Regions from separate parts of the Mus musculus genome. Here regions 1, 3, 4, 5 and 6 are each reported to be linked to region 2. Evidence: microRNA targets listed by miRTarBase, many of them from high-throughput screens and not tested one by one. Region 2 holds a microRNA gene; each other region holds the end of a gene's coding sequence.
Evidence for each region. Region 2 holds the annotated microRNA mmu-miR-17-5p (CAAAGUGCUUACAGUGCAGGUAG, at 2,214-2,236, opposite strand). A microRNA usually pairs through its seed, bases 2 to 8, with sites in the 3' UTR of a target mRNA and lowers its output. Matches are read on the target gene's strand: a 7mer-m8 pairs with bases 2 to 8, a 7mer-A1 pairs with bases 2 to 7 and ends in A, and an 8mer does both.

Region 1 (5,073 bases), not on the chromosome of region 2:
CTCTGTATATATGCCAGGATCGGCTGGAAATATATGCTTACTGAACTTTTCCATGTAGGACAAAGTCGCCTAATGTCTTAGTAGACAGGGTACCCCTCACCACATCCTCTTCTTAGGTCATTGCCTATCAATCACAAAAGCTTCCAGCAAGATGACAAATGGGTGAAGGGGAGAGGCAGAGAGAAGACAGAAACAGGAGCTGAGAAGCAGGAGCCTTCCTCCACTGGCCCGGCACAAAAAGACTTTCCCCATGGCTGTTAACTGTCACCCTTCTACACATGGAGAGGTCAGCACCTATGGAGGGCACACAACATAGGAAGGAACTTGGCATCCCGCATTATCGAGACAAAACAATGTATTTAACTTCCTCAATGTTTATTTTGATTTAGCCCACTGCCTTTGGGGCCTGTCCAGAACCACTCCAATTTCCTTTACAGGCAAGCATCATACCGACCGTGGACCGTGGAGTGACTGGACCACATGCACACGCACACGCATCCCCTGCTTAGGATGTCGGTGTATGTACGAAGGCACTAAAGCGGTTTTAGAGAATGCAGGCAACAACCCCACCCATTCACTTTACCTGTGGAGCTGGAGTTTCTTTCCCACTGGGAAGCTTAAAGTTTGAAAGAAGCTGTGGCCAAGACCTCTGGCCCCAGGAGGGAATACAAAAGCAGAATTCAACATCACCCAAATCAAAAGGAAACACTCCACATCTCTGCCTCCCAGGATGGGGGGAGTAAGCAGCAGATCTTCAAAACAGCATTTAAAACAAGCAAACAGTAGCTGGGAGCTAAATAAAAAATGAAAAGTAAAACCACTTGTTCCTTATTAGACTCTTCTGTTTCCTCCTCCTGTAACAGATGGGAGGCGAAACACACACTTTTCACCAACAGAACAGTCCATAGGTAATTTTCCTTTAGTAATGCTCATATTTAAAATTCGTTTAAAAAATTATTAACCTATATTTCCTAACTCTTTACAGAGATTCTCAGCAATCCAGCAACCGCACTGCCACAGTTTAGAGCCGATCCTTTTGCTTAAGCTACTGTTTCTTTCTTTATTCCTTGCTTTTGTTGATGGGGCTGGAGAGCCAGGGAGAAGAAGGGCTGCACTGGAGAACAGAAACATGACGGGGAGACGTCAGTCCAGCCTCATACAGAAGGAACAATGTGGTGTCACTCCTACGAGCTCAACAGTCACCCCCCCAGTAAGCCATGCACAATGTCAAGCAAGGCGGTGACAACACTCAGAATGGCTGAGCCTTCTCCCACAGTTGTTAAGATAATGAATTTACCTGTTGCTGCTAAATTGGTAATTTTTAAAAAATATTTCTATGTATTTTAAAATGTGTGATCCCCTGTATGATAATAACGTTTGGAGACTTTTCTTTTTACATTTTTATAAGTAAAAATCGTTTAAACTTTTTGAAGTTTCAGGAACTTGTAAAAGTTTACTAACAGGAAAGAAACAGCTGTCTATCTAGGATAAGATACAATTAAATAAACCATCTTCAAAAAACTGGCTTCCTACCCTAGAATTCCTGAGAATGCTTGCAAATTTTAAAGCAGGAAAATAATGTTAAAAATAAAAAACAAAAACACTGTTAAATGCTCCCAGAGTTAGTCTTCATCTAAAATATATATTTATATGTATGTGTGTATGTGCATATATATATGTACATACATATATATATATATATGTATATATATATACACACACATATATATATATATACACACACACACACACACACACACGCACTTTTTGGTCTTTTTTTTTTTTTTAAGTTTTTAGTTTTTTTCCCTTTAAGCTTATGATGGAAGAACATTTTAGCTTCTCATGCTTATTTTTACATATTTCAAATCCCTCATTTATGTCTTGTAAACAAGAGGGGCTCTAGCACCCGGCTTTCACCGTAGTATCGTAAGGAACTCAACTAAGCCATAGTGCAGGTCAAGGACCCAACAGGCAGAAAGAGGAGCAGGGGCAGAGGAGAGGATAGGCAGGGCCATGAACCAAGAGCGGCAGTGGACAGTCCCCACAGGCTCCCAGGAGTCTGGGGACACTAAAGTTCAGCCTTCAGTCTGCAGATGTCTGAATATAAGCGGCGCTTCACCTGGACGTCATCACCTGCGACAGAGCTCTGCTCCAACACTGAGAGTCAGTGGGGCTGGAAGGAGACATTTTGCAGGGCAGAGGTGAGAGGGGGTGGTGGTGATGGAAACCAGAGAGCAGGAGGAAGGCAGAGTCCATGAGAACAAGGTGTTGCAGGAACAAACCAGAACTGCACGCTCATTTGCCTACCCACCTGCCAAGGGCGCCCAGATTGTTAAGCACAGGTGCTCATGGGAATGGTGCCCCGTCAGCCTCCTCTGAAGCTAGGTTTATACCCAACAAGGTAAGCCAAGACGACTACAGAATTTCCCACTCACTGTCTTACAAAGCCACTTACATGCAATTTTGGGTTTTTTGTTTGTCTGTTTGCTTTTTCCTATCCATACCCCTCTACCCACCTACACCAAAGACACAAGCTGAAAGTTAAATACATTAGGCATTGTTGTATCCTTCACTGAAGATGCTAAAGAAAGAAAAACTCCCTTGTCCTCAATAGCAGCAAGTCACAGAGGACAGCAGAGGTCTGCTCCCGTCAGGGGTTGGAATGGGCAGGTAATTGCTGGTACAGAATGTCGGCACTTCATGTTGAACAGACAGTACGATGCAGACTGGGATATCACACAAGTGCTAGCATGTTCCCCGCACACATCACGCCCGCCCGCCCGCCCGCCCGCCCGCCCGCCCGCCATCTATTTAGCACGTGAGGATCCCCTTCGGGTTTACTTTCACTCTCTTCACAATAAGAAATTTGATATATTTTGATTCCAACATAGTACATACGTATTGGTGATAACTGTGGATTAAACATTGCCTCCTGTTCGGCCCAGAGAACTACTACATTGATGTTTTTTTAAAAAAGTCTTTAAATACCAAAATAAAAAAACCAACATTACAAGGAAAGAAAAAAAAAAAAAAGAGGTCAAAACCAAAACAAGGTGCAATACTTTGCTAAGTTATTTCTGCCTAAGCAAAACCACATACACAGGAAACAACACAGAGAAACAAAGGGAGACACTTGAAGTACACACTGGTTTAAGAACATTCGTTAAGTAAACGTTTCTGTCAGTGATGGCCTGGTGCTGTAACACGCCACGGCCTGGCACAGGTAATGCTCAGCGAGAGAGAGAGAGAGGGGAGCAGAGAGGGAGGCGCTGCGATGCTTCCAGGAGGCTGCTCATAACTTACTGTCTTCCTCACATGATAATGAGAACTGATAGAAGTAATTGAATTTGCATTACCTGAATCCTTTCAAAAAATTCTCACACCCGACGAGCACAGCAAAGTGGGAACTGTTTTTCAGCTTTTAAAACATCACACGATTTAAAAATTATTGAATCGTCTGTTCTCACTCAAAGTAGCCAACTGGCCAGCTCAGTCCTTAGACTCCTGCTGCCGGGCAGGCAGCTGCTTACTTCACAGCACAGAGGTGAGCAGCAGCTTCTTGGAGGGAGGGGCCTTCTGTCACACCTCTGGCCTTGGCAGTGCTCTGCTCTGCAGCTGGGTCGACAGAAGCTGGGGACCTCCCCGCCCCCCCCCCCCCCCCCCCCCCCCCGCATTCTGGCTGCTGCTCTGTCACTGAAAAGCACCCTTCATCTCGAGGCAGCCAGAAGAAGTGGCTTGAGTTGCAGCGGCTCCCTGTGCTCCTGTGTTCTCATAGTCAGAAATAATGAAAAGCGGATGGCCGGCCAGCCAGCCTTTGGAACTGTCAGCAATGCAGCTTTCTGAGAAATCAGGGTGGGGGTGGGGCGGGGCGAGGCAGGACGAGGAGGGCAGGACGCAGGCACACGAAGAGAGACAGAGAGGAGGATGCACGCAAATGCACATGAACACACGTGCACACACATACCAGAACGAGCATGCCTGGGCAGTTACATGTGCCAGAACACACTGGTATTTATCAACCAGCCAATCACAAAATTTTACCTTTTTTTTTTTTTTAAGTTTTTTTGTTTTTGTTTTTAAAGTGAGGCTCCGTCAAGTCTTCCCTCCCCCCTCCCCCAACAATTCTTTTGAATTTCCCTCCCACCCAAACATGGTAGACCTAAGGACGGAAACACACCCAGTGCAAACAAAGTTAAAAAGCTATTTTTTCAGTATATATGTTTCTTAGCAACAACTTCCATATAACATGAAAAAAGTGAAAAACTAGAAACTAATTTTTTTAATTTTTTTGTGTTTAAATTTAAATGGTATGTGTACTTGCTTCACATTGTCTTTCTAGGTTGGCGTTCATGATTCAAGTATTTCAAGAGTGATATGTTCTCTTTTTGGATTCATATTCCAAACGAAAAAACTGAAGTTTTAAGGGAGGCAACTATGTGCTCAGACAGTCTGTCAATGACCCACCTTTTTTCTCTCTCCGTTTTCTTTTTTCCTTTTAAAAATGTATTTATTGCAAGTTGAAAAAAAAAACGAAAAGGTCAAGTTAGTGCTGCTGCTGTTCCAAAAAAGGTCACGAGGTCAGAGTTGAAAGTTTAAGTTCAGATTGAATCCGACCCTCCTCCCAGAAGGTCACCAGGTAGTAAAGGAGCAGGGCTGCCCATCCTATGGGGATCTTCCACCGTCGGGACTCCCCACAAGCTAGAAGAATAGTTTGGGGGGCCCCACAAGGAAGTGCCGGCAAGATCGGCCCCACTGCTGCCACCAGCGCTGCTGCTCCACTGCCCGAGCCCGGTGGACCCACCGAAAAGGTTCAGCGCAGGTCCAACGGGGTCTGCTTGGTTCTGGCTGGTCTCCAGGGACTGCCACCCTGTGGCAGGTGCACTCGGGGTGGCTGCAGGCGTAGGGGGCTGAGCTTGAGCCAGAAAGCGGCTGACTTCATCCTCAGTGGCAAACTCGGCCAGGATGGTAGTGTTTCCCAACACACACCTACAGAAAGGAGAAGAGTCACGTGATCCGAGGGATCGCCAGCAAGGGGGTGGGGGTGGGGTGGTGTACAGCTGTCAGCCCTCTGCT
Region 2 (5,073 bases):
CAGCTGTTTTGCCAACAGAGTTTTAGAGCAGACAGTCAGCAAAGCCCCCTGTGCGGAACTGAACAAGTGCGTTGCTGCGTGAAGCCCTTAGTGCAGAAAGCAGCTTAATTAAGGGAGGAGAGAGGAAAATCCTAGGAAAACTCCTCTTCACTACTAGGCCTCTAAGACACACATTCCTTACTAAAATTAAATCTCAATTTAAGTTCAAAACATTCTGAACACAATTACTACCACAAGCTCAGCATCCAAAGGTCCTAATTAAGACCTTATTAATTTTAAACTTCTAATTTAGTATATTGAAGAAAGTACCTGGCAGGCTTCCTATGTTGGAAGATAAACGTAGCATTCAATCCGTAACACTGGTGACAGACCCCTCCCTTTATAGGAGGCACATGGATCATGTGGATCGTGCTGACATTAGAGCTTTATCACGTTTTAAAGGAAGTTTTCATTAGTCATCTGAAACAAGTTTTAATCCAAAAATGTTAAGAATGGAGTCAGAAGTGACTATGTTTCTGTTTTAGTAATAATTGTACAATTCTGGTCACTCACAATCAAACCCAGGCCTGTGGAATCCTTACCTGGCAGCTCAGGGATCCATCAGTCAGCTTCTTGCATTTCTTTTAAAAAAAGCAACATATTATGGAAAACTTTAGCTCTGTAGATAGTGTCAGCTTAAACCTGATTTTAGCAGCTCTTCCTTATTAATTTTACTTTTCTTTAGGTTTCACTCCAATGATTTTTATTCATAGCCTGAAACCAACTGTGCTGCCCAAATGTAGAACTATATATTATATATACTGTTATCCTAAATACTAACTGCAGCTTCTCCAGACCCAGCACTCGAGTGTCATGTGTACCTGTCACTCTACTGACCATCAGTTTGCCATCTTTCCCTTGAGGGGGTCACATGGTAAGAACAGTCCAAGGATAGTTCTTTCTTACAGGGTGTGCACATTAACAGAGTGGCCACCACCTGTTAACTGTTAAGAACTCACGGATTAGGAATAATCTTATCAGAAAACACTCCATCTGAATTGTCACACTTTAATAAACAGAGATCCAAAGAAAGTAACATTTTTCTTAACTCATGTTAATGGGTTTTAGAGTAAAATAAACCTGAAGTCATACCAGGTTCAAAAGGCAGTTTAACTTCACCTAAGCCCCCACACACAACTTCTTACTAAATCCAGCGAGCAAACACGAAAATGAAATGATTCAGTAAAAACAAACCACAATTTAAAAACACAAATTTCAATTAAAAAAATCCCGTTTTACACACCAACGAAAGCAATAGAAATCACAGTTTACAGAATGTGTTCATACACTCCATCAGCTCGTGAACATTTTTACAGTGGAAATCGGCATCTTCAGCAATATTGTCATTTTCACATCTTCTGGTCACAATCCCCACCAAACTCAACAGGCCGGGACAAGTGCAATACCATACAGAGAAACACAGCATTGCGACAAATCCCAACCTGTGTAGAAAGGGGTTTGATTTTCCCTTACTTCTCTACAGACTTTTCACCACCACAGTCAGTTTTGCATGGATTTGCACAGCAGAATATTATACAGCTGGATGCAAACCTGCAAAACTAACCATAGACCAGTGCTCAATAACAGGACAGTTGGCTGGGCGATGGCCAGGCGAGGCTGGAGTTCTACAGCTGGCAGTACTTTAAGTGCTCGTAATGCAGTAGATGGCTACACACTACCTGCACTATAAGCACTTTAGTGCTACAGAAGCTGTCACATCACACACACCACGCAGGCTCTACATCGACACAATAAAAATACAAAATTAGTTTAAAAAAAAACAACACTTGAAGTAAATAGCAGGCCACCATCAGTTTTGCATAGATTTGCACAACTACATTCTTCTTGTAGTGCAACTATGCAAAACTAACAGAGGGCTGCAAACACAACTATGGAGAGACCCCTACATGCTTGCTTGACTTGGATTGGATGAGGACATAACTTCTTATGCCAGAAGGAGCACTTAGGGCAGTAGATGCTAGTCTACTTCACTATCTGCACTAGATGCACCTTAGAACAAAAAGCACGCAGCACCAGCAGGCCCTCCCCGCGACCGACTGACCGACGACTGGACGCAGCCAGTGCCGCCCGAGGCAGCGCCCACTGTGGCTCCCACCGAGGCAGCTGTCAGCATAATGCTACAAGTGCCCTCACTGCAGTAGATGCACACATCACTACCTGCACTGTAAGCACTTTGACATTATTCTGACTGGTCACAGCTTCAGTCCCAAGGTGAGGTTCACTTTATTCCTGCTAAATTTGAAATAAATAATTAGACAAAAAGGAAAAAGCCAAAGCTCTAAATTCTGTCACAAACATCAATTACAGCTTATACCCAAGGGGGGGAGGGGAGGAGCCAATAGCCAGAAGTTCCAAATTGGACACATGTAAGCCTTAAAAAAAAAAAAAAAACTCCTTAAAGAAATATAAGATACAATCCCATTAAAATGTTGGCTTTTACAGTAGGCTTCCCCAAAAAACACACAATAAGGGTCCTACAAAATGAGACCTGTTATCAGGAAGGCAGTCTGACTTGGTACTACCTTTAGAGGAAAGCCTCACATTGACCAGGCAGCAATCCCTTTCTTCTGTCCTCCACATTGTCAGATACTCGACAAGATTAATGATTATTGTTTAGTCATTTTCAAGTTTATTAGTCATAAAACATAAAAAAGTCTTAGTATCACCCCAAATTAGAAATACTCTATGACTCCAACTTGAAGGGTCTACAACTATTTGGTTAGTGTCCAAAAGCCACTGTAGATTTACTACGTTAAAATGTGGCTCACTCATTTATGACAAGAGTTCAAACTGTATTTATTTCATACCTTAAAAGACCAAGAATGTTGTACAAGCTCAAAGACAAAAGTGAAAACCAAAGGTCTCAAAAGAAGTTTTAGCTACAAAACTAGAATATACTCACCCACTCAGGCAAACTTCCTTCTCAGCAAGTATCCTTGGGCAATGCTTCGGGTGCTGCTAGGTCCACGTGTATGACTAGGGTTGGGGGTGGGGTGAAGACAGAGAAAGGGTAAGCACATTTGCTCAAAATTACTACCACTTTCCGAGCCCCATTCCAAGTTGCTCTTCTCTTAATCTTCCTAAGGGGCAATTCTATCCATTTGCCAAAAAAAAAAAAAAAAAAAAAAAAAAAGAGAGAGCCAGGACCACAAGGTCCTGAGGGCAACAATGTATTGGGTGGAAAACGCTGTAACAAAATAAAGTTGAAAACCCACCAAGATTCACATCCGTGCACGAATTAATGTGCCCCTGAAATACTGCAAGATGAGTAGCAGCAAGCCTGAACTCTACTGTCCAGCTCAAGCTAGAGAAAAAGGGCAACCAGGACTAGTCTTCACCACCCCTCCCCCAATCAGGACCTCGTGGCTGCACGCCGGGATAAAGAGTTGTTTCCCCAACTGCTGTGATCCTCGTGGCACGTTGCTCATTTTCTTCCCTCTGGTCACCTAAGAACCACGAGCCCTGCTGCGCTCTCCAGTTTTCTCCCCTCCGCGCCAGCTTATCAAGAGAAAACCGGACGGGAACACGGGATCCTGCCAAGTACCCGCCACGCTCATGGAGCCCGGGCCGGCAGCACATGTCGCACAAGGGGGCAGGCGGCCCTTGTGGGTTCCCCGCGCGGCCGCCAGGGGGCGGCAGGTCAGAGCCGGGCCGCGCTGCGCCGGACGCGGAGACTCCCCCCCCCCCCCAACCCCCGCCCGTTTCTGGGCGGCTGCGCGGCGAGCGGCGGCGCGGAGGCCCGAGCGTGGCGAGGCTCCGGACACGCCGGCCGTCCTTTGTGTCCCGCGCGCCCCCCGGCCAGGCTCCGGGGGAGGGAGGGGGGCGGACAGGGCGCTCGCCGCACGCGGCCCGAGGCCTAAGCCGGGAACAATCGGCGGCGGCGCGCAGTCGCCGCCATGTCCCCCCCCCCCCCGCCCTCGGCGCGCGCAGCCCGCCCCGCAGGAACATGGCGGCGGGGCCGCCGCTCCTGCCGAACCCGCCCGGCCCTCCCGCGCCGCGCTCGCAGCCAGCGCCCGTCCGGGGCTCCGCGCCGCCCCGAGGGCGGGCCGGGGCGTCCCGGGCCGCCCGGGCGGACCGCAGGGGTCGCCTCGCCCGCGAGGGGAGCTGCCCACGCGGCCGCACACAAAGCCCACGCGGAGCGCGGGGTGGCGCCCCGGCCCCGTCGCCCCGCAGCTCCCGCGTCCCGGAGCCCGGCCCGGCGCGCACAAAGTTTCGGGGACGCCGAGTGCCGCCCGCCCACGCCGCCCGCGCGCAGGTTCCTCGTGGGCGCGCCCCCTCCCGGCCCGCGGCCTGCCCCATGTGCCGCCGCCGCTTTGTTCTGGAGGCGCTTTAACTCTCGCCCCCGGGAGAAACTTTCCCCGCACGGCGGCCGCGCGCCCCGCCCGGCTCCCGCCGCTCCCGGGACGGCCGCCGGCCTCGTGCGAAGCCTCCCGAGGGCCATTGTGTGCGCCGGGCGGGCCTCTCCGGGGCCCGGGCCGCCGCCCCCTCGGGCCCCCTCCGGCCCGCGTGCGCGCCAGGACGGCCGCCCCACGCCGGCGCCCAACGGCCCGAGACCCACCCGGCCCGCGGCCCCCGCCCTCCCGCCCGTCCCGCCGCCGCCGCCGCTCCGCTTAGCGCACAACAGGTTTCCCTGAGCCGGCGGCGGGGCGGGCGCACTCACCGCAGCAGCCGCCACCATCTTCGCCAGCCTCCGCGCCACTCCGGCCCGAGGCCCCAGGCCGGGGGTGCGGCGTGGCCCGCCCGGCCCGGTCCGAGCTCGGGGCTCCGTGGAGAGGCACGGGCGGCGTGGGGGACCGTCCCCACCCCTCGGCCTCGCCGCAGGGCGCGAAGTGGCGCGAAGGCGCGGGCCGGGGCGGCGGCGGCGGCACCTCGAAGGACCATGTGGGTGAATGAAGGGCGGCGGCTCCCGCCTCAACGTAAATACGGACAAGCCCCACTCCCTCATTAGCATAAAAAACAAAGTACTTCCGACCTCCCCGCCCGCCCGCCAATCACCGCAGGCCCCGCCCACGG
Region 3 (5,073 bases), not on the chromosome of region 2:
GGTACACCAAACCTGAGTTTCATCTCTTCTGCTATATGAGCTGAAACATCCGTGGACTCCCTCCTGGTTGGCTCAAGGATGAGGGGTGGACACAGCCTGGGAGCCCAGCTTGCCCCATCAAACAGCCCTGCGGAGGGAGGATATCACGAAGTGTCTCATCTGAATGTGGAACCTTGGCTTATGGATCTGGAGTGGGCCTTCCCATGTCAGCGGAGTTCGTGTCCAGTGAATTGCATTGGACAGACTTCTTTAATCAAAAAAAAAAAAAAAAAAAAAAAAAAAAAAACAGGTTTCGTCTCCTGGGTTTGTTTTTGTTTAAGACGGGTCTCAGGCTGGGATATTCAGTGTAAAGCACTTGCCACCCAAATGTGAGGATAAAGCCCATGTAAAGCCAGATGTACCCACCATATGATGGGAAGAAGAGACAGAATCAGCAAAATAAAACCTGCCTCCAAAAGCCTGGAAGGTAAAGGTGGACAGACAAAGGTCCTCTGGACTGTGCCGTGGAACAATCAAGCATCCTTCCCAAACCTTCCCCGACGGGATCTCATGCAGTCACTCTGGCTCACTGTGTGGCCAAGATGATCTTGGAATTCCTAAACATCTTGTCTCCCAAGTGTTGGGATTTATAAATATGCACTGGCTCAGTTGGCTTTGTTTTTCTACTTCTGAGACACTCGTGTTACTGTAGCTTAAGGCCAGACCCTCCATCCTCCTGCCTTTGCCTCTCTTAGGGTTGATGACAGGCTTCTGGGTTCTTAAGATAGTTCCTGTTCTGTGTGCGTAGCCACCAAGTGGGTGGGTGGGTGGGGGGGGGGGGAGAAGAGGCTGTGGATAGTCTTATAACTAGAAGCTATTAAAATGAAGTCTCCAACCATAAACAGGGAACATGCAAACGTTGCTTGTTACATAATGCATTGGGCACTACTCGGTTACAAAATCTCAATCTACACAACTCCTTCTGAAAGTACTTATTAGTATTCTGGTAGTTTCCCCTTTTACAGAGAATTGGGTCTCAGGGGCAGGTGAGGATTAAAAGCACCATTTAATCCTGACACACGAAAGGCTTGAAACTAGAGACCATCCCCTTTCCAGCAGGGCTTCCACACAGGTGCTTCTCCACTGAAATGCTAATGGAACCAAAATCAAGCAACTACAAGCAAATGCAGAGGGTAATGAGAGTCCCTGGATGTCCCAAACACAGACCCCAGCCACTAGCCACCTCCCCTCAGCATATCCCTGCTCTGGGAAGTCCCAACAGGCAAGGCCAGGGCACCGCCCAACTCCCAACTGTTAAAGCAGAATCAGGCCTTCAACTGGAAACCATCACTTCTCCTTTCTGTCCAGGAGGCCTCGATGGCATATTATTGACTAGAGGCCCCAACAAGCAGGAGGCCAGGTGAAATTTCAGGTTCTCTGGTCTTTCTGGCTAAACCTTTGTCAATTTTTGCCAAAGGTGACTCTTGACTAACAGCTGGGTGGAGGAAGGGTGGACATCCTGAGAACAGGAGCTACTGTGAGCCCAGGGGCTCTCAATCTGAGGGTAATCAGAGCAAGCTAGACACTGAATAGCCTGAGTGGGCATTCCCAGCTATGGGACTATCAGTCTCAGAAAGAATACTTCCCAATGCCAAAAATGCCAGAAGCCAAAATGAAAACCCCGCAGGATGGTCAGCAGGACAGGGCAGTCAGCCACAGGCACAGACTTGCAAAGAGGTGCAGGAGACCCACATTGAGGATTTCTGAGCAAGCTGGGTACTTCCTTCCCTCTCTCAATCTTCTAGTTTTCAAGACAAGGGTCTCTGTGTAGCCCAGGCTGTCCAAGAACTCGATCTAATAGACCAGGCTGGCCAGGAACTCTAGAGATCTGCCTCCCTCTGCTGGACTTGAAGCCACCACATCACGCTTGTCTGGCAATTTTCTCTGAACGGAAACAGTCCTTCCCAGGAGGGGAGGTTCATGAGACTCAGGTGGTGAACAAAAGCTCACATTTAGGAAAGCAAAAACTGAAGATTCTCAAGGTTATCTCCCCAGCTTTTATACAAGGCTCGACTGTGCAACTGCTTACATGTTCTGCAGAGAGCCTCAGGTTACAGCATGGGCTGGGGAAAAGAGAGGCTGCTCTGTGATGCAGCTGTGAGTGACCCCTTGTTAGTGACCCAGTAAAAATTCACCCATCTCGTGTGTGTTCATCCCCAGGAAAAGACTATCACTTCGAAATCAGACATGAGGCAAACTGAACTCAACCTCTCAGGACAAATTAGGCTGAGAAGCCATCAGCTTGAAACCCCAACCCCACTCTACTCCTCCACCCTTCTTCTCCATCTGAGCAGCTGCAGAGGCAGGCTGGAGCAGAGGCAGAGGCAGAGGCAGGCTAGAGCAGGGCTTGCCTGAGCAGGTTTGAGAAGTGAGAGCAGTACAAATTCAGATTCCAAAGTTCTGTATTTTTTTCAAAATAAAGATCACACATTGTTTAGAGACAATCTACACAAGAGTTACAAAAAATAGTTGCCCAGGCATAAGCATACACAGGTTTGTTAATTATACACATATGGTTACAAGTGTGCTTGCAAAAAGTTCATTGGAAATATACACAAGGCTCTGGAAATGTACACCGTGTAGTGTTACAGTCTATATTCAAACGAGGGTTGACAGTATGTTACATTCACTTACAAGTAGACAAAATGCAAAATACAGCTCATCTGTACAAAACGGAGGGCGAGTCACTTTACAAGGGGTGGCGCTGAGCAGGGAGGGGGCAGGCGAAACTTCTGCACATCCTTTTTGACTGTCACAAAATAAGCGAAACATTACCTTTTTTAGGATTAAAAAAAAAGGGGGGGGGGGGACACTAGTGTGAACTGAAGCATCTGAAGTAACATTTAGAAAGGCTCTCACTACCGTCTTGACTAGCTGACAAATAAACCAAGCTATTTTTTTTTCCTTTTTAAACATTAACTAGGCTGTATAAAGAACATTTATTCCTTCAAAAGAAAAAAATTTACTTCTGGTTGAAATTACAATTTACAATATACAACACTATCTGCTACGACCATAAAAGGTGGGATATACAGAGTGCACGGGCTGGCTGATTCTCTTCTTACCAAAAACGTGTTCGTGTTGATCAAACTCCTCCACATTTACATTACAGGTATACAAATGTACAATTGTACAATCAAAAGTATGTCCGACTACTAGGGTACATTATAGATACAGATTAGACATCAAAACAGGAAAATACTACAAATCCGTATATATGCAAAGTCTACACAAGTATACACTATGTATCTATAGAAGCCAGACCAGGGCCGAGCTGGGTATTCTCTCATGCTAAACAGTCAGATCCTGCTTCCCAGTGTTCACACAGGCAACCACAGGCAGCAAGTGGCCATGCCCACTGGCCTTGGGCCTCTGGGGTCCCCGCTCCTCCTGGATCTGCAGCTACCACCTCCCTCAGCACGAGGTCATCTCCAAAAAAAGAGCGTCATAAACTCCATATCACAGGCTGATGCTCTAGCAACTCTGAAACGTTCCCATTTCATATATGTATATATGTATATATATATATATTTTATAAACAGTGTTAAATGCCAGTTTGAGATCATTTAACTAAAATTCAAATTTCTCAGGTTTTTTTTTTTTAATAATAAAATGAGGAGGTGGGGAAGAGCTATTTGCAAAACTTGCCACAAGGCAAATGAGTTAAAAACCTTTTTTTGTCTTTTTTTTTAACTTTTTTTGTTAAACCAACCACCCTGAAAGTGTCCACATGTGGAATATAGATACAACATTGAACAAAGCATGTGGCCTCCCATGTACACTGATTACCTATGTACAAGTTCCTATACACCAGTAAACAGCAGGGCAATTAGTCAATTAAAAAAAATAATTAGTACATGTTATGTGTAATAAAATGAAATTTACAAAGGCCTTTCCACAAGTGGATCTGATTCTGTTTTTTGGAGGAGGGAGCAATCCCGGAGCAACCGTTGCCCACTTCCGACGCTGAGCTGGGCACCTCTGGTTGCTGGTTGGATCTGCCAGGGTCAGTGAGGTCAGCGGGACAGGGACGTGGGTGCACTGTTCAGATGATACCATTAGGGGGACCACAAATGGGCCCCAAGTCCACGCCATTCTTCATGTAGTACTTCTCGAGCTTGGCCAGGATGTGCTTGCCATAGGTGTACTTTCGAAGCGTCGCAATGTGTGGCCGGATCTGGAGAGGACAGTGTGGGTATTACTCTTGGCTGGAGAGGCACCTCCAGACCCTTCCCAGACAGACCCAGACACAGAATATACAGTGTACATATATAGTGCTTCATCCCGAAAGGTACTCCTGTCCTCTTATTGCTAGCAAGCCACGAGGTAAAGACGGGAGCTCTTGCCCTAAGCACTGACAAAGGACAGAGAACCATGACAGAATAGCCTATGCCAGCCAGCTGCACGTAGAAAACCAGGTTGTCCTGACAGTTGGGGCTTCCTTTGGGGAACCAGATGTCTGAACTCACCACCAGATCCCTGCCTCGCCAGGGCACAGGATTTCTTCCAGTTAACAGTGACCAATTGCACTGGCTAGTTTTTACATCAACTTTACAAGTTAGACTCATTATGGTAGAGGAAACCTCAATTGAGAAAATGCCCCCACCTAATTGGGCTGTGTGTGGACAAGCCTGTGACGCATTTTCTTGTTTGATGATTGATGTGAGTGGTACCACCATGTGCGGGTGGTTCTGGGTGCTCTAAGAAAGCAGGCTGAGCAAACTACTGGGACCAAGCCAAGAAGCAGCAGTCCCCGTGACTTCTGAATCAGCCAGTGCCAGAGCTTCCTGCCCTGCCTGCCTTGGATGATGGAAAAACTGTAAGATGAAACAAATCCCTTCCTGCTCAGCTGCTTTTGGTGTTGTTCACAACAGCAACAGAAACCCTAAGACATAACTTGGTACCAGGTCAGTAGTGCTGGGAGTGCTAAGGAGGATTGTGGTAGCACCTGAAGTTTGGGCTGGAAAAGCCACCGTATGCTCAGAGCTTAGTGGGCTTCTGTGGGAGCTTTAAGATAATGTTGCTAGCAGTACA
Region 4 (5,073 bases), not on the chromosome of region 2:
GGAATTGAATCCAGAGCCTTGAGCCTGCTAAGCAAGCACTCTCACTGGGTTACATTTCCAGTCCCATGTTATTTGGTTTGGTTTGTTTTTTGAGACAAAAACCTCACTGTGTAGCCCAGGGCTGCCTCGATCTTTCTGCAGTTCTGCCTCTACTTCCTGCATGCTGGGATCACAAGTGTGTGCCACCCTGCCTGACTATCCTGGTTTCTTACTAAAACTTAATAAGGCCCTTCACTACCTGCCCCACCTCTCCAGCCTTGTTCCCCATGGCTGACCTTGGAGACATGATAGAGCAGTTCCAGTCCCCATACTGTGCCTTCTCTTTGCCACTCCCAGCTTTACTTTGGAGAAGTGTTTAGGACTACAGCAACTAGCATGCCTTGGTACCTCCAGCATAACAAGCAGTCTGACCTAGCATTTCATGCAGAATGGGGCCTGCTGTTCAGGGCAGTGAACACATTCCCAGGCCCTCAGGTGTCAGCGAACATCCAGAGGAGCATTGGAGCGTTCCACGTGCTAGCCTCTGAGTCAAGAGGCCGATAACCCTGTAATTGTCTCTTGCTCAGGTTCGGGCGGCGCCGCCACCACCCACACAGAACCACCGGCGGACAACTGAGAAGATGGAGGACGTGGAGATCACACTGGTGTGACAGTGGATTTACCTTCCGTTACTGCTACAATCAAGGCCAGGCTTGGAGTTTGGCCAGTCTCATTTTTTAGGCACCTTTGCATGATGATGACTCTTGAAAGGAGCAAAACCAAGGAGGATTCGATGGGACTGGTTGGCCTGATTGTGCCTTTTTTGTTGTCGTTTTTTATGTCATCTCTCCTACCATAGCACAAATCATAGCGGGTCCTAGAAGCAGAGGGGAGCAGCTCTCATGCCTTATAGTGGCCCATTTTTATATGAGACTCAAGGCCAGGCCTAGATCCAGGGCACAGACCCAGAATTACCAATTGTGTGAACTCGTACAGTATATTACTGTGGCCATGCACAGGGCTGTGGCAAAGATCTCATCTTTCCTCAAGTGGATTTTGCTCTTCTGATTGTTATTCAAATCAAGTTGACTGTGTAAGGAAATCCAGGAGAGGCTGGCTCCTCCCCAGGTTCATTCCCATACTGAAAATGCAACCTTATTGAGAAGAAAGTGGACTGCCTGAGCTTAGCGCCAATTGCATAATGCACATCTCTTCCTCAACTAACAGATTTAAAATAACAGTGTCCTTTGTATTAATATTTATGCCATTCATTTAGTATTAGTGGGCTAACCTGGAGGGGCTGAGGCCACATCTTTCCCATCACATAGACTAGAAGGGAGGCTAAGGAAGAAGCAGAAATGGAGCTTCCACATCTGAAATGAGCCACTTTAATGTTCCTTTTGTCTTTGGGTATGTTTCCTCTTGGTTTTTACAGTGTATACCCTCTGACCAGTATCCTTTGAATCCAAGTGTCTGGCTGCATTGAGGACAAAGGCCTACATTGCTCAGCTTCTCTACTGGAGAGGCCCTTATATTATTTTATTCCCAAGCCAGAGTATTGGCCTAGACATCTGGGTTGTGATTGGTGCAGACCAGCTGTCGCCTTCTGAAAGTACAGCTTCAGGTCCCACTGCCCTGACATTTGTCCAGAGTGAAGAATCTATGGGCCCTGGAGGAAGCCTGCTTTCTGTGGAAAGGATACAGGACTGTACACCTGCCCAGGTGAGACCAAGGAGGCTAGCACCTTCTGCAGGTCAGGGAAGAGCCTCATGGCGCCCTGGCCTCAGCCTAGAAGGTCAAGCACTCTGTGGACGGTAGATCTTGACCTAGGGAACAAAGCAATGCTTGCCAATCCTCTTTTACCTTGGCTGGGAAAAGAAATTTACAGATTTAAAGGTTGTATGATGCTTTGAAATTTCCATCCCTTCTGAGAATCTCTAAAAACTTGAAATGGTCACATGTCCCCGTGGGATTTTTGACTGATATCGGAGCTGAAGGGATTTTCAGTCATTTGATCACTTTAGCAATGATACTCTGATGAATCTTCTCCATGAATTTGGATTTTTGGTTTTTACATTTATCTGTTGATCTATTTGAGGTCTTTTTATGTTTATCAAACTTATTCTTAAGTTTAAAAAATTAAAAGGGTATTTTAAGATTTTCAAATTTGCTGATCTTCAAAGTGCTTATAATAGAGCAGTTCCTGCTACCAGTCCTGTATTCTGTTTAGCTAACCAAATTGTCCTTGGATTTGAGTTTCCCACAACCTCAGAGTTATTTGAACTCTTTTGTTATATTTTAAAATATTTTTTGGAAGAGCTGCTAATTTTATTTTAAGAAACAAAGTTGTAAAAATATGCCTCCTTTTTAAAAATAAATAAATAAATAACCCTTCTCTCCAGGCCGAATAACCCGGCGTCACCATGCACAGGTCAGGGCTCAAAGGGAGCCTCCGTGCAGGTGCGCTTTCTTTACAGTGGCTGTAAAAAGTTTGTATTTATTATGTATAAAATGTTGAATAATAAAAAATGAAATTAAGTTTTGCAAGTGTCCTGATAAAGAGTTGATTAGGCAGGCTTTGAGAGAGAGGATGCTTCTTGTGGGCCATCCTTAAACCACGTATCATGTGCCCAGAGCAGGAAGTGAGTCCACCCAGACATCACAGACCCTGATGCTATTCTTGTCCAGCAAGAGGGAAGAAAAGACAGGTCATGTATTTGAGGCCAAGACCATAAAACAAGGCATGCTGTGATCTAGTTACAGGCTGAGTCTCTCTGGCTTCCAGACAACCACAAGTCAAGGAGGAACCTTGGTGTTCCATTATGGGTTCTGGGTGGCCCCGCCTGTGCAATAAAACCTTTTACTCACTAAGCCATGGATGTGGAGGAACTCACAGATCCAGCACTTACCTGGGGCAGGGTTAAAACCTTTCCTGGCATTTTCCTGGGCATGTATTGTTTACTCTGCTTATTTAGAGCAGGATTAGATAATACTCTGGAGTTTATGTCATCTTTTTATTTACTTTCTTTCTTTGTTTTTGTCATTGTCTTTTTGATTATGTGTATGATATGTGAGTGCAAACATGTGTGTGTGCCACAGCACATTTGGGGATCAGGACAAATTTTGAGATGGCTCTCTGCACTTTGCCTAGGTGGGTCTTGTTTTTTTGCTGCGCTGTGCACCCTAACCTAGCTGGCTCTCATGTTCCTGCACCACCCATCTTATAGAAGTGCTAGGTTACAAATATGCAACACTGTAACCTGTTTTTTGTTGGTTTGTGTTCCCCCTGAGGGCTCTGTGGGTTGAACTCAGGTGGTCAAGCTTATACAGCAAAAGCTTTTACTGAGCCATCTTGCCAGCCATGTTTTTGTCATTCTTTTTGATGGCTGCATATTCCATTGTTTGGCTATATAATTAATGGTTCCTCTAGTGACGGGTATTTAAATAGTATCTAGCCATTTGCTTTTAGGAAATTGAAGCTAACATCATTGTATATACTTCTTTATAAATTTGTTAACAGTGTAAATGTAGAATTTGACAGAAAGGGTTAAATGTTTGCCAAATTGGCTCCAAAAGAACTGCATGAGTTTTTTACATTTCCATCAAAAGTACATGGAGCAACATGGACATAGAAGTCAGGTTTGGGTTAGTAAATCCTGCCTGAGCCACGTGGGGCAGCTACAAGGACTGATCCTGTGTCCTGCAGCCTGAGGAGAAGCCTTCATTCAGGAAGGAGACAAAGTATGTAGCAGAGGGTGGCATACAAACACCATCAACACTATCATCTCTCAGCCTTCAAGGTCTTCAGGAAGAAGGGTCTCCTTCCATCCCCTAGCCTCTTAGTAACCCACAGAAAGAATGGAGTTGGAAGTGCCATAGATCTAGAAGACTATAAGGATACATTTTGTGCAGTGAAAGCTCACTCTCAAGTCTGACACTAGTCTTTTTAATTTAGGCCAGAGTTTAGCCAGTTGTCCTACCTCAGTGCCATCCATGGTGATTTCCTTTGTCACAGGAGCTGACCAGACTGTCAAGCCACAGACTCATTGTTAATTCCCTGACCCCTACCTCTCTAAGCCCAGGCCCTAAGTCAAAGTCAATGCAGGATAGTACCTGGCTTTAGCCCTGCCACTACTTAATAGAACATCTTTTCCTCCCAGCTGCCACTACCCCATTTTTAGAAACGATGCAGTGAAGTGACTTTGATGGGCTTATCCAATTCTCTCCCTAGATCAGTTAGATACAGGAGAAAGAAAGAAAAGAAAAAGAAAAATTAAAAAAACAAGAAAATGAAAATTCAGATCCCTGGACTCATCCCCAGAGACAAGGCAGCCATTATGGTCTGTATTAGGATGCCACTCCTGGACCACACCAGTCATACTGTGCAAGGATTCCAGCCACAGCTTCAGGATTTGGTTCTAATTACTGCCCATCTCTGAGTAGCCTTAGGACAGTATCTGGCTGCAATGAGCCTCTGCATTTATTTAGTTTAAGTTGGATACACACACATACCACACACACAGTGTCAGAAATAAAACCAAATTACAGAAATTTTAGGTCAAGGGGAGAATAAACATTTTTCTTCCTGAAATCCTGCAACTTGACATAGCAAGTTTTGTTTCCTCCTGGGATTTTGCTGGGTTTGCTTTATAAAAGCATGAGCTGCCAAGAACTACGAGAACACCAAAGAGTGTCTTGTTCCTGGACTATTTTCCTTTGGATCAGTGGCCAAGAAAACACATAGGACTCCTTCATGTCTTTTCCTGAGAATGCTGTTCAAGGAACATGTTTCTGGAATGTTATCCTGAAGCATAATAGAGAAAACCTGTGAGTTAGGGTTCACAGGTTTATATGCCAGACACACCAGTAAGGGGCAGGGAAAGAACTGGGTGGAGACCCATGAACAACCTCTGCCGTGCATGGATTTGCCTGCCATAATCTAAGTCTCAGCCCTCAACTTCATCTTTAACTTGGAAGTGAGAAGATAATATAAACTGCCTCAGATCCAGGAAGATTTAGTAAGATGATGTACAAGTGAACTAAAGATAGTTACTAGTGGATATACTTGCAGCAGACATGGCACTTACCCACGGT
Region 5 (5,073 bases), not on the chromosome of region 2:
TTATCATTTTTAATGAATGCCCAACTCCAAAAAACTGTGGGTTTTCCCTTATTATTTTAATCTTTATTACTTAATTTCATATATGACTACAGTGTTTTGATCAAATCCACCCCATCTCCCCAACTTCCAACTCTTCCCCACCACCTGTTTCCCTCCCACCTTCAGTGTTCTTGTTTTTCTTGTGTTCTTGCTCTTCTTAGTGTTGTCAATATATGCATAGATGTGACTGGCCTTTGTAAGCCCATACCACATCTAAAATTAATTGACATAACTACTACTGTTATAGAAAAGAGATACCAAATGGGGAGTGCTTCCAAAACGCTAACCCCAAAATTAGTTTTCTGCTTTGGATGCCCATCATTTTACCCTTCAGAACCAGGAAACAAAAAGGTGCAAAGCTCTTATTTGTATATAAAATGACTGATTAGAGCATGTGGCCTGCTCTATTGTCTGAAGATGTTTTAATCTCATCCCACACTTTGAACAAATGCAAATTCTGCTGCTGGTGCAAGACAGTTCCACTGTCTTGAAAGTAATTATTAACATCACACAAAGCCAGTAAACACCAAAGCATTTTCCACACAGTGCTGCATTTTAAAATGGCTAACTTTATTGAAAGATAGGCACAAAGTGGATTTAACCTGCTTAACTTTATTTGATCTAACTCTCTTGATTACAGAATAGGATCACAATCACTACAAGACCATGTACATTAAGCCAAAAGTAATTCTTCTTGAACAATCTGCCAGTCCCATCTAGCCATCTTATTAAACACATGCCATCGATCGCAAAGGAGGCCAGAAGGATTTGAAAACGTCTTGTCACCCACCCTTACCACCAGAAGAAAATGTATTTCCAACCCTTGTCCTACTGTCAATGGGTGGCACATGAGAGAAGAATTTCTGAAGATTGTGGCAGGCAGAAATCAGTGACAATGAACCCACAGTGAATAGTTCCCTTTGAAAATATTTTCTGTAAGAAGGAACATATCTTAAGTAACATAATCCATGTATGAATGAGGATGTAAGATAACAGACTGTATGGCTAACAGACATGAGCATTTATTCAAGTTAGCACATACATCTATACTTTAAGCTGCCACATTATTTAGATTCTTCATTTTAAAAACTAGCTGGGAAATCAGTTTGTTAGACCCACTCAACAGTGCAAAAGTAAAAAGAGAACATCTTGCTATGTTTCCTGCCATGGATGATGGCAGATGTTTCAAGTTTCTACTGCCCCGTCACCCTGCAGCTCAAAAGCAACACTGAAATTAAAACCTTCATTAAGACAACAGTCACAATACATGACTTTCAAAGGAAGTTAAATTACTTCCTCAACAATGTTAATAGTTTTGTATCAAGTATAGTTCCCTCAAATGAAATTTTGCTGGACATGGGACATTGGGGATAACAAAATGAATTATAAGATCCTCATAGACAACTAGACAGTAAAAGTTAAGACAAGAAATATTCCCTCCTCTTCTGGGAAGTCCAGGAAAAGGCCTGAAATGTTACATCCACACAACTGTGAAGGCAAGGTTAATTCGAGATTCATCCCATATACTGAATTTTTTAACTGGTATGTGGTAGAAATTTTTCTCAAATGGTGGAGTCTATACAGACTATACCAATATAGTCTTCTTCCATGTCTTAGACACACAATGTCCTTCTAGCAAATTTCCTGGGACAGAAAACTGAAGAGAAGGAGTGCCTCTTATGTGACAGGGCACAAAGGTTCTGGAAAGTTCATACTTCAGCAAGGACTTCCTTTTCTCCCCAAACACATGACTCTAAAGCGATGGTTGCCACAGTGAGGAATTCATTTCATCTATCACTTTAGAGTATGTGATTATAATAATGGCTCCCAGAGTCAGCCCAAATTCTATCAATGAGTTTTCATCATGAGAGGACATGAAGTTTCTTTGATTTTCATTCATTTGCTTGGACAGAAAGTAGCTCTCCTGGTGTTTGCTGCCTGATTCTTCTACTGTCTGAAGGGGTTTATTTCCTTGCACTTTTAATTGTCTATTTGTCATTCACTCTGTAACTGAGGACCAATACATTGGATGATCACTTTGCTATTAAAAATGTGAAAAAGATACTAGTTAAAAGTTGTTGAATTGCCTTCCCTCATCTACAGACAGACAGACAGACAGACAGACAGACAGACACACACACACAAACACACACATAAATCTTTTGGAAGGTAATTAGGAACTACACAAGAATACAGGTAAATATAGCACTCTTATACTCACAGAGGAATACATAAAATGACCCAAGACACCCGATTTTATAGTGAAAAACAGATGGGTTGACTTTTCTTTATGGGTGCATTTCATGTAGCTCAATGATTAAATGGGATGAGGAAAAAATCCAGTCTCACACAAGGCACTCCAGCAGAGACAAGATAAGAATTCAGACACCTAATCAATCTATTCACACCAAGAATATTTTCATAACATAGGTACGCCCTAGACTATGAAGATGTCCTTTCTTTAAAACAGAGTCTTCTTTTTTATAATCATTTGCCAAATGGGTATGTAGTTGGCAGAACAGAGAGATGTGCTGTGTGATCTTGAAAAAGTCAGTGAACTTTTCCAACTCTCAGATTCCTCATCACTAAACTTAATGCTACATTGCTAAGTAAAGTTCCTCCCCATCACTATAGCCCATGGCATAATACAGGATACACTTGCATCAATCTGATTTCTAACTTAACACATCTCTAAACGTCTATCTCCCTTACCTAATACCCTCCCACCCTTAACTTCCCTAGACCCCTGAAAACTCATCTTAATGGTACTATCTGTAGTTCTATTGCCTCAATGAAGGGCAGAGACAAAGGACAAGGACCTGTGACAACTGACACCTTCTGTGTCCTTGGAGGCAGCTCTGTGGCAAGGCCCCATGTTGGTCCCGCCCATATATACATTCCTAGCTGCTTCCCAAAGGGATTCCAAGATGGAGTCACTGGTAATGAGAAGAGGTAGTTGAGGAGATTGCTGCAATCAACCTTGATCATGACTGCAGCCTGGTACTTTGGATTTCTTATGTGATTTCCTTGGAGGTGACAGTTGCATATGCCTTTGAAGGCACATGCTAAAGATTTGGGAAAAAAAAAGAGAAATATTTCCAAGTATTTGCCAGAAATTCAACACATTCAACCTGTCAACAACGATGTTTCCTTATCTTGCAAACTACTGGTAAACAAATATTGGCAAAGCAGCCAGCGAATCTGCATTATGGGTGGGGAAAGGCTATGCCAGTCACCAGGACTAATTTAAGGTGACTGAGCCATGGTCATGACTATACCCAGATCACAAAAGTCTGCATGCAGCATCTCATGCAGCCTTTTATCAAGGCCTCTAACATCTAATCCCCTATGAGAGAGGCAGTCATGGATCACTGTTCATTTACCTTCCTACCATCTGAAAGCAATATATTAATTATCCAAATGCATAAATTATTCCACAGTATATATATGAATGTATCAACCTCCAGGAGGAAACCAAAAGAATCCACTTCCAAAGCACCATTGAAATGGAGAGAAATACCATCAATGAGGGGGCAGGATAACTGGCAACTGGGAGAAAAAATTGGTTCCAGCACCCTTCTTCACCCCAATCCTCTCTAACTTTTCTTTAGCTTCCATAGCTCCTAAAACACTTTCTTTCCTCAAGCCCAAAGTCAGAGCTTTCTGTGGCTGTTGTCTAGGTAGAGACCCGACAAAGTAGCAAGTCCTCAAACTCTCCCTGAATTTCCACTTCGGAACTCCATGTTACAACCTGCCTTCTACACATACTGTATTCTTCAATGAAAAATGACCTCAAATAGGGAAATTTAAAACAACTTGAAGCGTATTCAAAACATCAATGGACATCACTACTGGTTAATAGTCCATGAGTTGTACAAAGCCCAACAGTAAGCTTTAGAGCACATTCTGCTTAACCTATCTTTTTGAGGTACTCCCTAAGTATTCCAAAATAGATTGGAATTCGTTTCTATGGTATTACTTATGTACTACCAGAGTCCAATAAAAAGTCCCTTTAGAAAAATCATCCCCACCTCCCCACCCTATCTTCACCCCAGATTAAACAAATGAAAGGGAAAAATTATTAAAAAGAACTCTTGCTGATAACGCCAGCTCTTGATTGTGCTGTTTAGATGAGATATTCCACCATCTCTGCATCAGGCTCTTGCCCCAGGATCTGAATGGGTGTCTTTCTTTCCAGAGTGCTGGAGTGGAAAGCAGGGGCATCTAAATGGAAAGGAGGGGTTAGAAACGACTTAGGCACAAAGTAAAAAGTACCTTTCAAAAATCAATGTTGCGAACCATAACAGAACTCATTTTTAAAACGTGACTTGCAACTACAGACATGCCCATCATTTACTTTACTGAAAAATGGCCTCTGCTCTTGACCACTCCCTTTTTAGTGAATGACAGAAGGCAGATTTAGAACCTCTTCTTTTCTCTCCTCTGACCAATTGGATCATGCAATATTTAACTATGTCAAAAGGTCAGGCATCAACTAATAGATGCACACCTGAGAACAAAACCAGAAGATACCTGCTCCGGAAAATTGTGATTACCTGGCTTATCTGGGTTGCACATCAGATTTGGTGTAGACAAGCGGCGTGGTCCGGAACTGGCACCTGGATTTGCAGGACCCTCAGTTTGAACCAAAGCTGGAGTTGGAGTTGGAACTGGACTAGGAGGTTCAGTCGGAGCTGGAGTTGATGCCTGAGTCGGAGTCGGAGCAGAAGCCTGAGCCGTTGCTGGAGCCGGAATCGAAGCTGGAGATGGAACCGGAGCCGAAGTAGCTGGAGCAACCTGAATAGCAGTAGTGGCAGCAGCAGCAGCAGCAGTGATAGCAGCAGTAGTAGCTGCAGCAACAGCAGCAGTAGCAGTGGCAGCAGTTGGAGAAACAGTAGCAGGAGTAAGAGATGCAGCAGCTGGAATCTGAACAGCAGCAGCTGGAGAGACAGGAGCAGCTGGAGGCACTACAGCAGCTGGAGCGACAGGAGCAGCTGGAGAGATAGAATTAGCTGCAGAGACAGAAGTAGCTGC
Region 6 (5,073 bases), not on the chromosome of region 2:
TGACCTTAATAAATGTATCTAAGAAGCAAAAAAACAAGCAAACAAACACCCCCAAATCCCAGTTATAGTTTTTATTTAGCTTCTGACAGTACACTAGGGGTTACTAAAAAATGTGTGTGTTTAGGATGTACACGAAGAATGTACTGACTTGGGAATGGAGACAGGGCTTGGGGTTAAGAATGCTCACTGTTGAGAGAACTCAAATTTGTTCCCTCACACCCATGCCAGGCAGCTCACCATCTCCTGAAACCCCTGCCCTAGAAGATCCCGTACCTCTAACCTCAAGGTAACCCAAACTTATGTGCACATACCTATATAAAGACACATATAAGTACATGTAATTTTAAATAGTAAAAACAAATCTTACAAAGAATAAGTTGACATGTTTTCCACGCGCCTCCCCCCACCCCCATGTTGATTTAGGAAGGCAAGCAAACCCTTAAAAGAAAAATAACTTATGTCAAGTTATGGGCCTTGAGTAAACAAAATAATAGGTAGCTGCACATTCGAAGCAACCCAACGTGGGAGTATTATAAATTACAGGAGTCCAAATAGGCCATCTGAGTGAGTGAAATCACCTCTTGGTAAGTAAAACACCTCTTTAAAAAAACATACATTGTGTGTGTGTGAGTGAAAGAGAGAAGCGGGGGGAAGGTCAGAGAACAAATCATGGCAGTTGCTTCTCTCCTGCTATGTGGTGGCCTAGGGATTGAAATCTGGTCTTTAGGCTTGGTGGTGTTATTACCTCTGGAGGCATCGGACACCCCCCCCCGCCCCCCCGCAAAGTCCACTTATCTAGAAGCACTCACTAATCATATGCAACAGTTATCATGCAAGCATTTTTTTTTTAAGAACAAGAAAAGAAAAACAAAAATTTTGGTGTTTTTAAAGTATTGGCTCAGAGTTTGTTTGTTTTTTTTTTTTAAGGTGGAGATAAAACCTAACACTTTTGTAAGGAACTCATTCCTGGTAACCCATTTACTCAGCAGTAAAATGATCAGAGTTGGAAACTTAAATCTTTCCCTGCATGTTGCTCACTTGCCCTTCAGTGGCGGTCTGAAATCTGTTGCCCCTCCAAAAAACTCTCTTGTGGCTCAGTGGCTTTCATATTGAGAAGCTCACATACTAAGCATTCAAAAGAATATTCTGATTATTCCTCCAAAAGATGATCTGTCAGACACATTTCACTCTTATCTGAGGTGGCCAAGTCTGTCGAAGTAACTCCCTGGTCCGACCATGACCCTACCAGCTCACGGTCTCCTCCGATTGCAAGGCCACCAAATCATTGCTCCTCAATCAAGGTCAGTTTTGTTCCATCCTGTTTCCAGAAAGAATATTAAACCTTAGCAATCAGGTCCAAGTTTGGATACATACACATCGATTCTTTCATAATTAAAAATACAAGATAATAGTTTGCTGATCAATAAACAAAGTATTTATTCAGCACCCATGTGCCAAGCACAGTGCTAGGCACTGTGGTGGATACAAAAATTAAGACATAGTCCCTGCCCTTAAGGAGCTTACATTCTCATGAGGGGAACAAAACTAACATACATGTAGCAGCTAAGAACAGTACAAGACAATATATGATTTGGTATAGGAATTTTAGCACAGATTTGAAGCTTCATAAGGATTTAAAGAAGACAGTGAAATAGGCCTTAGTTTTAAGAGTTTAGTGTCAAGGTCTTGAAGAAACTTAAATCGACGTTCCTGCAAGGGAGAAGTAGGAGCAAGGTTCAGAGAAAAGACACAAAATATGCATTTGATAAGGGCTAAGACGTGATTGCAGACTTCGGAACAGAGCGGCTGAACGAGACAAGCAAGGTTCAAGAACTTGAATCAAACTCAAAACAGTAAGTAGTTTAGTCATCCCGAGAGGATGGAAGGGCAGGATCTTAGCTAACACAGATAGAACTCACCCGAGAAAGGAAATTATAGCCACAAAATAAACAGTGGCCGAAGGCATGACAATTCTAGGAAGCATGTTATGCCAACATGCCAATAGCTCCAATGTTTCCTAATTCCTCCCAGAGGACTCTAGAGACAGTGTTATGGTTCCATTTCAAGATCCAGGATGTGGACGCTTTGCCTCACGCAAGTACAAAAGAAATATAAAAGACAGGAGGACACAGAGGGACAGAAAAAGAAGTGGAAGAAACAAGTAAAAATTCATAGTGAAAAAAACACACCAAAGTATATAAAATCTATCTCCTATGGAGATGCAATTGGCATGTCCATTCATTTTTAAATGAACATATACTGTATTCCTGTAACAACGAAACAAAATGCCCTATGCTTTAGGTGTGCTTTTCGGATATTTCTGATACAATCAATCCAGGAAATGGCTCAAACTGTATTCATGTAAGTTTAAGCGGTCACAGAATCCCATAATGCAATCTCACTTTTCTGCTGACTCATATCGCAAAAAGGAAGTGTGTTTTGGAAGAATTGGAATTGAGAGGTTGGCTGGGGAAGTGAGGACTTTCCCTTGTGTCCCAGTGAGCACAGGGATCTTGCCAAACAACACAGGGCCAGGGACCTGCCAAACTACTAAGAGGCCAAGTGACTGAAATCAGCACTGCCAGGAGACAGTGTGTCACACAGCATGGTGTTCTACCACTAGGAATTCACACCCTAACAATAATCCAAAATATATTTTCTGTTTTCAGTCACTAATATGTATAGGTATTCACTGTTTAAAATGAAAATAGCTGGTGGAGAGATTTTAGAATTAAAGATCGGTCACAATAACTCCATGAACTAGCTAAATCTAAAATTAACTTAGGGAAAATAAATAAAACCTTAAAGAAACCCATTTCTGGCTTAAAAGCAAGCAATAATAATAAAAATAAATTCCTAAAAGTTACTGACAAGGCCTTCTTGAACAAAAACAATTATCAAACTTAAGAATCCCATAAGGATCATACAATCTAAGATTGTCATTAAACGTTAAAAATTTTTAAACAAGACAAAAGCAGTCCCATTGGCCCACGTCCCATAGAGTTACAATGGTCTTCAGTGATTTACTAGTACCGTACTCATTCCATTCCTTATCGAGTTCCACTTAGTCATTAAAATACTTTCTACCTCAAATGTATCTGAAACTTTCCACCTAGAATGTTTACTAGAGCTTACTTAAGCCTATGCTAACCTCTGAGAAAATCTCATCTGAAAAGCAACTCAGCCTAAACAGGATGACCCAGCCTGGGAAGTCCTGTGCCTCTTTGACATTTATGAAAACTGTCTGAGGCCATCTTTCTGAGCTCTGATAAAGCAGCATGAATGGAAAACTGTTGAGTCAGACAAGATGTGCCATCTTTGATAAGTACTCTGAACCATCAGTGTGGCTGCTTCCAAAGACCCTGATTTCTGCCCGACTGGGAAGGTGAACCAGGCCCTTGGCCCTGGAAGGGTCTTGAGCTTTTCTTGAAATGAATGACAAGAGGAACACATGCCCAATGCTGCCCATTCTTATTCCTGTGCTTTGACAACGGGTGGCCATTACTAATCTGGGTATTTCTTAGTAGAGGAACTCCAACTCAAAGAGATATCACAGTTGCTTTTGGTTTATAGCTGGCTTCTCTACAGTCAGATTCCTTGGCTACAAGAAATTACCCTCCCTTCTCCCTCCTCCTGTGGTCTAAACTTGAAGCTTCATGGTATTCAGATGGAGAACTATCTGAATGGCAGAAACCAATCTTCCCTCTCCAGAGGCTAAGACTCTGAACTAGAATTAGTCAGATGTACATAGCAGCTGTGTATTTCCAATCTTGAAATGAAATCCAGTTGAAAGCCGTGGAGACATGAGGGCAGGCACGGAAACTGCTGTGTTCAAACATACGCAGGAGAGCTAGAACACACTACCATGATTTAAAAGATCACACGAAAGCTTAAATACAGTGTGAGAGAGATGGAATTCAGTTTTATTTTGTCCTCTCCGTAACTTCCATTTACACCACGGCCTTGTCTATCAAAGAGGAGGAGGAGCACCCGCCTGTGCCACTGAGCTCAAGTACCCATGGACTTGCTCACGGCACAGGCAGGGTGCCTGGGTCTCCAGTTTTTGGCTCCAAGAGGTTATACTTTTAGTACCAGCATAGTGAGGAACCCCTGGCAAACTCCTGGAAATGTCTTCTATGTTAGTCAGTGTACCATCCCGTAAAGTGCTTCTGGAGTTAAAAATCTGTCAAGCTGTCAAAACTGTCCACGCTTTTGCAACAAGGGATAAAAGACCCCCATGGACATGTCACTGAGTCTTTCTCAGATGGGTCTCGTAATTGGCACCGCTGCTTTACCCACCAAGGCGCTGGCCCTCACCCCAGGCGAAGCCTCCCGGCCGCTCTTCAGGTAGTGGGTTGTAATTGGGATCCTCATCTGGCGTATCAAAAATAGTCCTCCTAAAACACACAGAGACCATTCAGTGCCAGAGCCCCCTTAGATTGGACGTACGATAAAGCAGCACCCATAGGGCTTCCACAAACAGGTAAGTATTGTCCCTGCCTGCCAACTACAGAGGTACTATACCTTAAAGGCGCTATACTTATTTAACACTTGCATTAATATTTACCTTATTAATAATTGTTACTATGGAAGCAATAAATGCTGATGGAGTACCTGGATAGTCAAATTCACAGGCACATAAAAAGAAAGGTGGTTGCTGGATGACAGAAATAGGGAATTACATCATGGGCAGAGTTTTAGGATTATAAGATAAAACCTTCTAAGGAAACGGCCATAGCAGCACAACACAAACTCACGAACCACCACTGAATTGTTCACTTTACAACGGCTACGACGGTGACTTCCATGTTGGAGCGTGTGGACTCAGTTACAAGGACATCCAACACTCCAAGTAGAGAAGGAGAAGCAGTAACTGAGGCCGATGTCTATTAGCAAGGGAGGCGTATACTTATGTTATGTCATAGGAACCCCGGACTAGCATGCAGCCACCAAAATCCCGTAGGCCATTTATAAAGGAAAAGTAATTTCTTTTTTCTTTTCTTCTTTTTCAAGATGGTTTCCTCTGTGTAGCCCTGGCTTTCCTGGAACTGGATCTATAAACCAAGATGGCAT

Region 1: the mRNA of Tnrc6b is a reported target of mmu-miR-17-5p. Seed matches in the 3' UTR shown: 7mer-A1 at 4,078-4,084.
Region 3: miRTarBase lists Pum1 as a target of mmu-miR-17-5p. The part of its 3' UTR that is shown has no 7-base or 8-base seed match.
Region 4: the mRNA of Fchsd2 is a reported target of mmu-miR-17-5p. Seed matches in the 3' UTR shown: 7mer-A1 at 1,364-1,370 and 7mer-A1 at 1,996-2,002.
Region 5: miRTarBase lists Amot as a target of mmu-miR-17-5p. The part of its 3' UTR that is shown has no 7-base or 8-base seed match.
Region 6: the mRNA of Derl2 is a reported target of mmu-miR-17-5p. Seed matches in the 3' UTR shown: 8mer at 4,160-4,167.

The regions. Positions count from the first base shown.
Region 1 is chr15:80,929,002-80,934,074 of GRCm38, reverse strand. Tnrc6b (trinucleotide repeat containing 6b) reads right to left here. Exons shown (of 25, transcript NM_144812.3): 25 at 1-4,986. The coding sequence ends at 4,599. Among named protein-coding and RNA genes, the nearest start is that of Mir5113, 8.5 kb to the left of the region's middle.
Region 2 is chr14:115,040,847-115,045,919 of GRCm38, reverse strand. Mir17 (microRNA 17) reads right to left here and starts at 2,249; the gene lies at 2,166-2,249. Mir18 (microRNA 18) reads right to left here and starts at 2,069; the gene lies at 1,974-2,069. It overlaps Mir19a (microRNA 19a), which reads right to left and starts at 1,920; the gene lies at 1,839-1,920. It overlaps Mir20a (microRNA 20a), which reads right to left and starts at 1,763; the gene lies at 1,657-1,763. It also overlaps Mir19b-1, Mir17hg and Mir92-1.
Region 3 is chr4:130,778,915-130,783,987 of GRCm38, reverse strand. Pum1 (pumilio RNA-binding family member 1) reads right to left here. Exons shown (of 22, transcript NM_030722.3): 22 at 2,424-4,216. The coding sequence ends at 4,085. Gm12972 (a long non-coding RNA gene) reads right to left here and starts at 279. Exons shown (of 4, transcript XR_001784548.2): 1 at 1-279.
Region 4 is chr7:101,281,884-101,286,956 of GRCm38, forward strand. Fchsd2 (FCH and double SH3 domains 2) reads left to right here. Exons shown (of 20, transcript NM_001146010.1): 20 at 567-2,522. The coding sequence ends at 650. It also overlaps a transcript of Atg16l2 not described here. Among named protein-coding and RNA genes, the nearest start is that of Atg16l2, 18 kb to the right of the region's middle.
Region 5 is chrX:145,445,836-145,450,908 of GRCm38, forward strand. It overlaps Amot (angiomotin), which reads right to left. Exons shown (of 11, transcript NM_153319.3): 10 at 4,596-5,073; 11 at 589-4,263. The coding sequence ends at 4,166. Among named protein-coding and RNA genes, the nearest start is that of Amot, 39 kb to the right of the region's middle.
Region 6 is chr11:71,006,030-71,011,102 of GRCm38, forward strand. It overlaps Derl2 (Der1-like domain family, member 2), which reads right to left. Exons shown (of 7, transcript NM_033562.4): 7 at 1,411-4,397. The coding sequence ends at 4,292. Among named protein-coding and RNA genes, the nearest start is that of Dhx33, 4.1 kb to the left of the region's middle.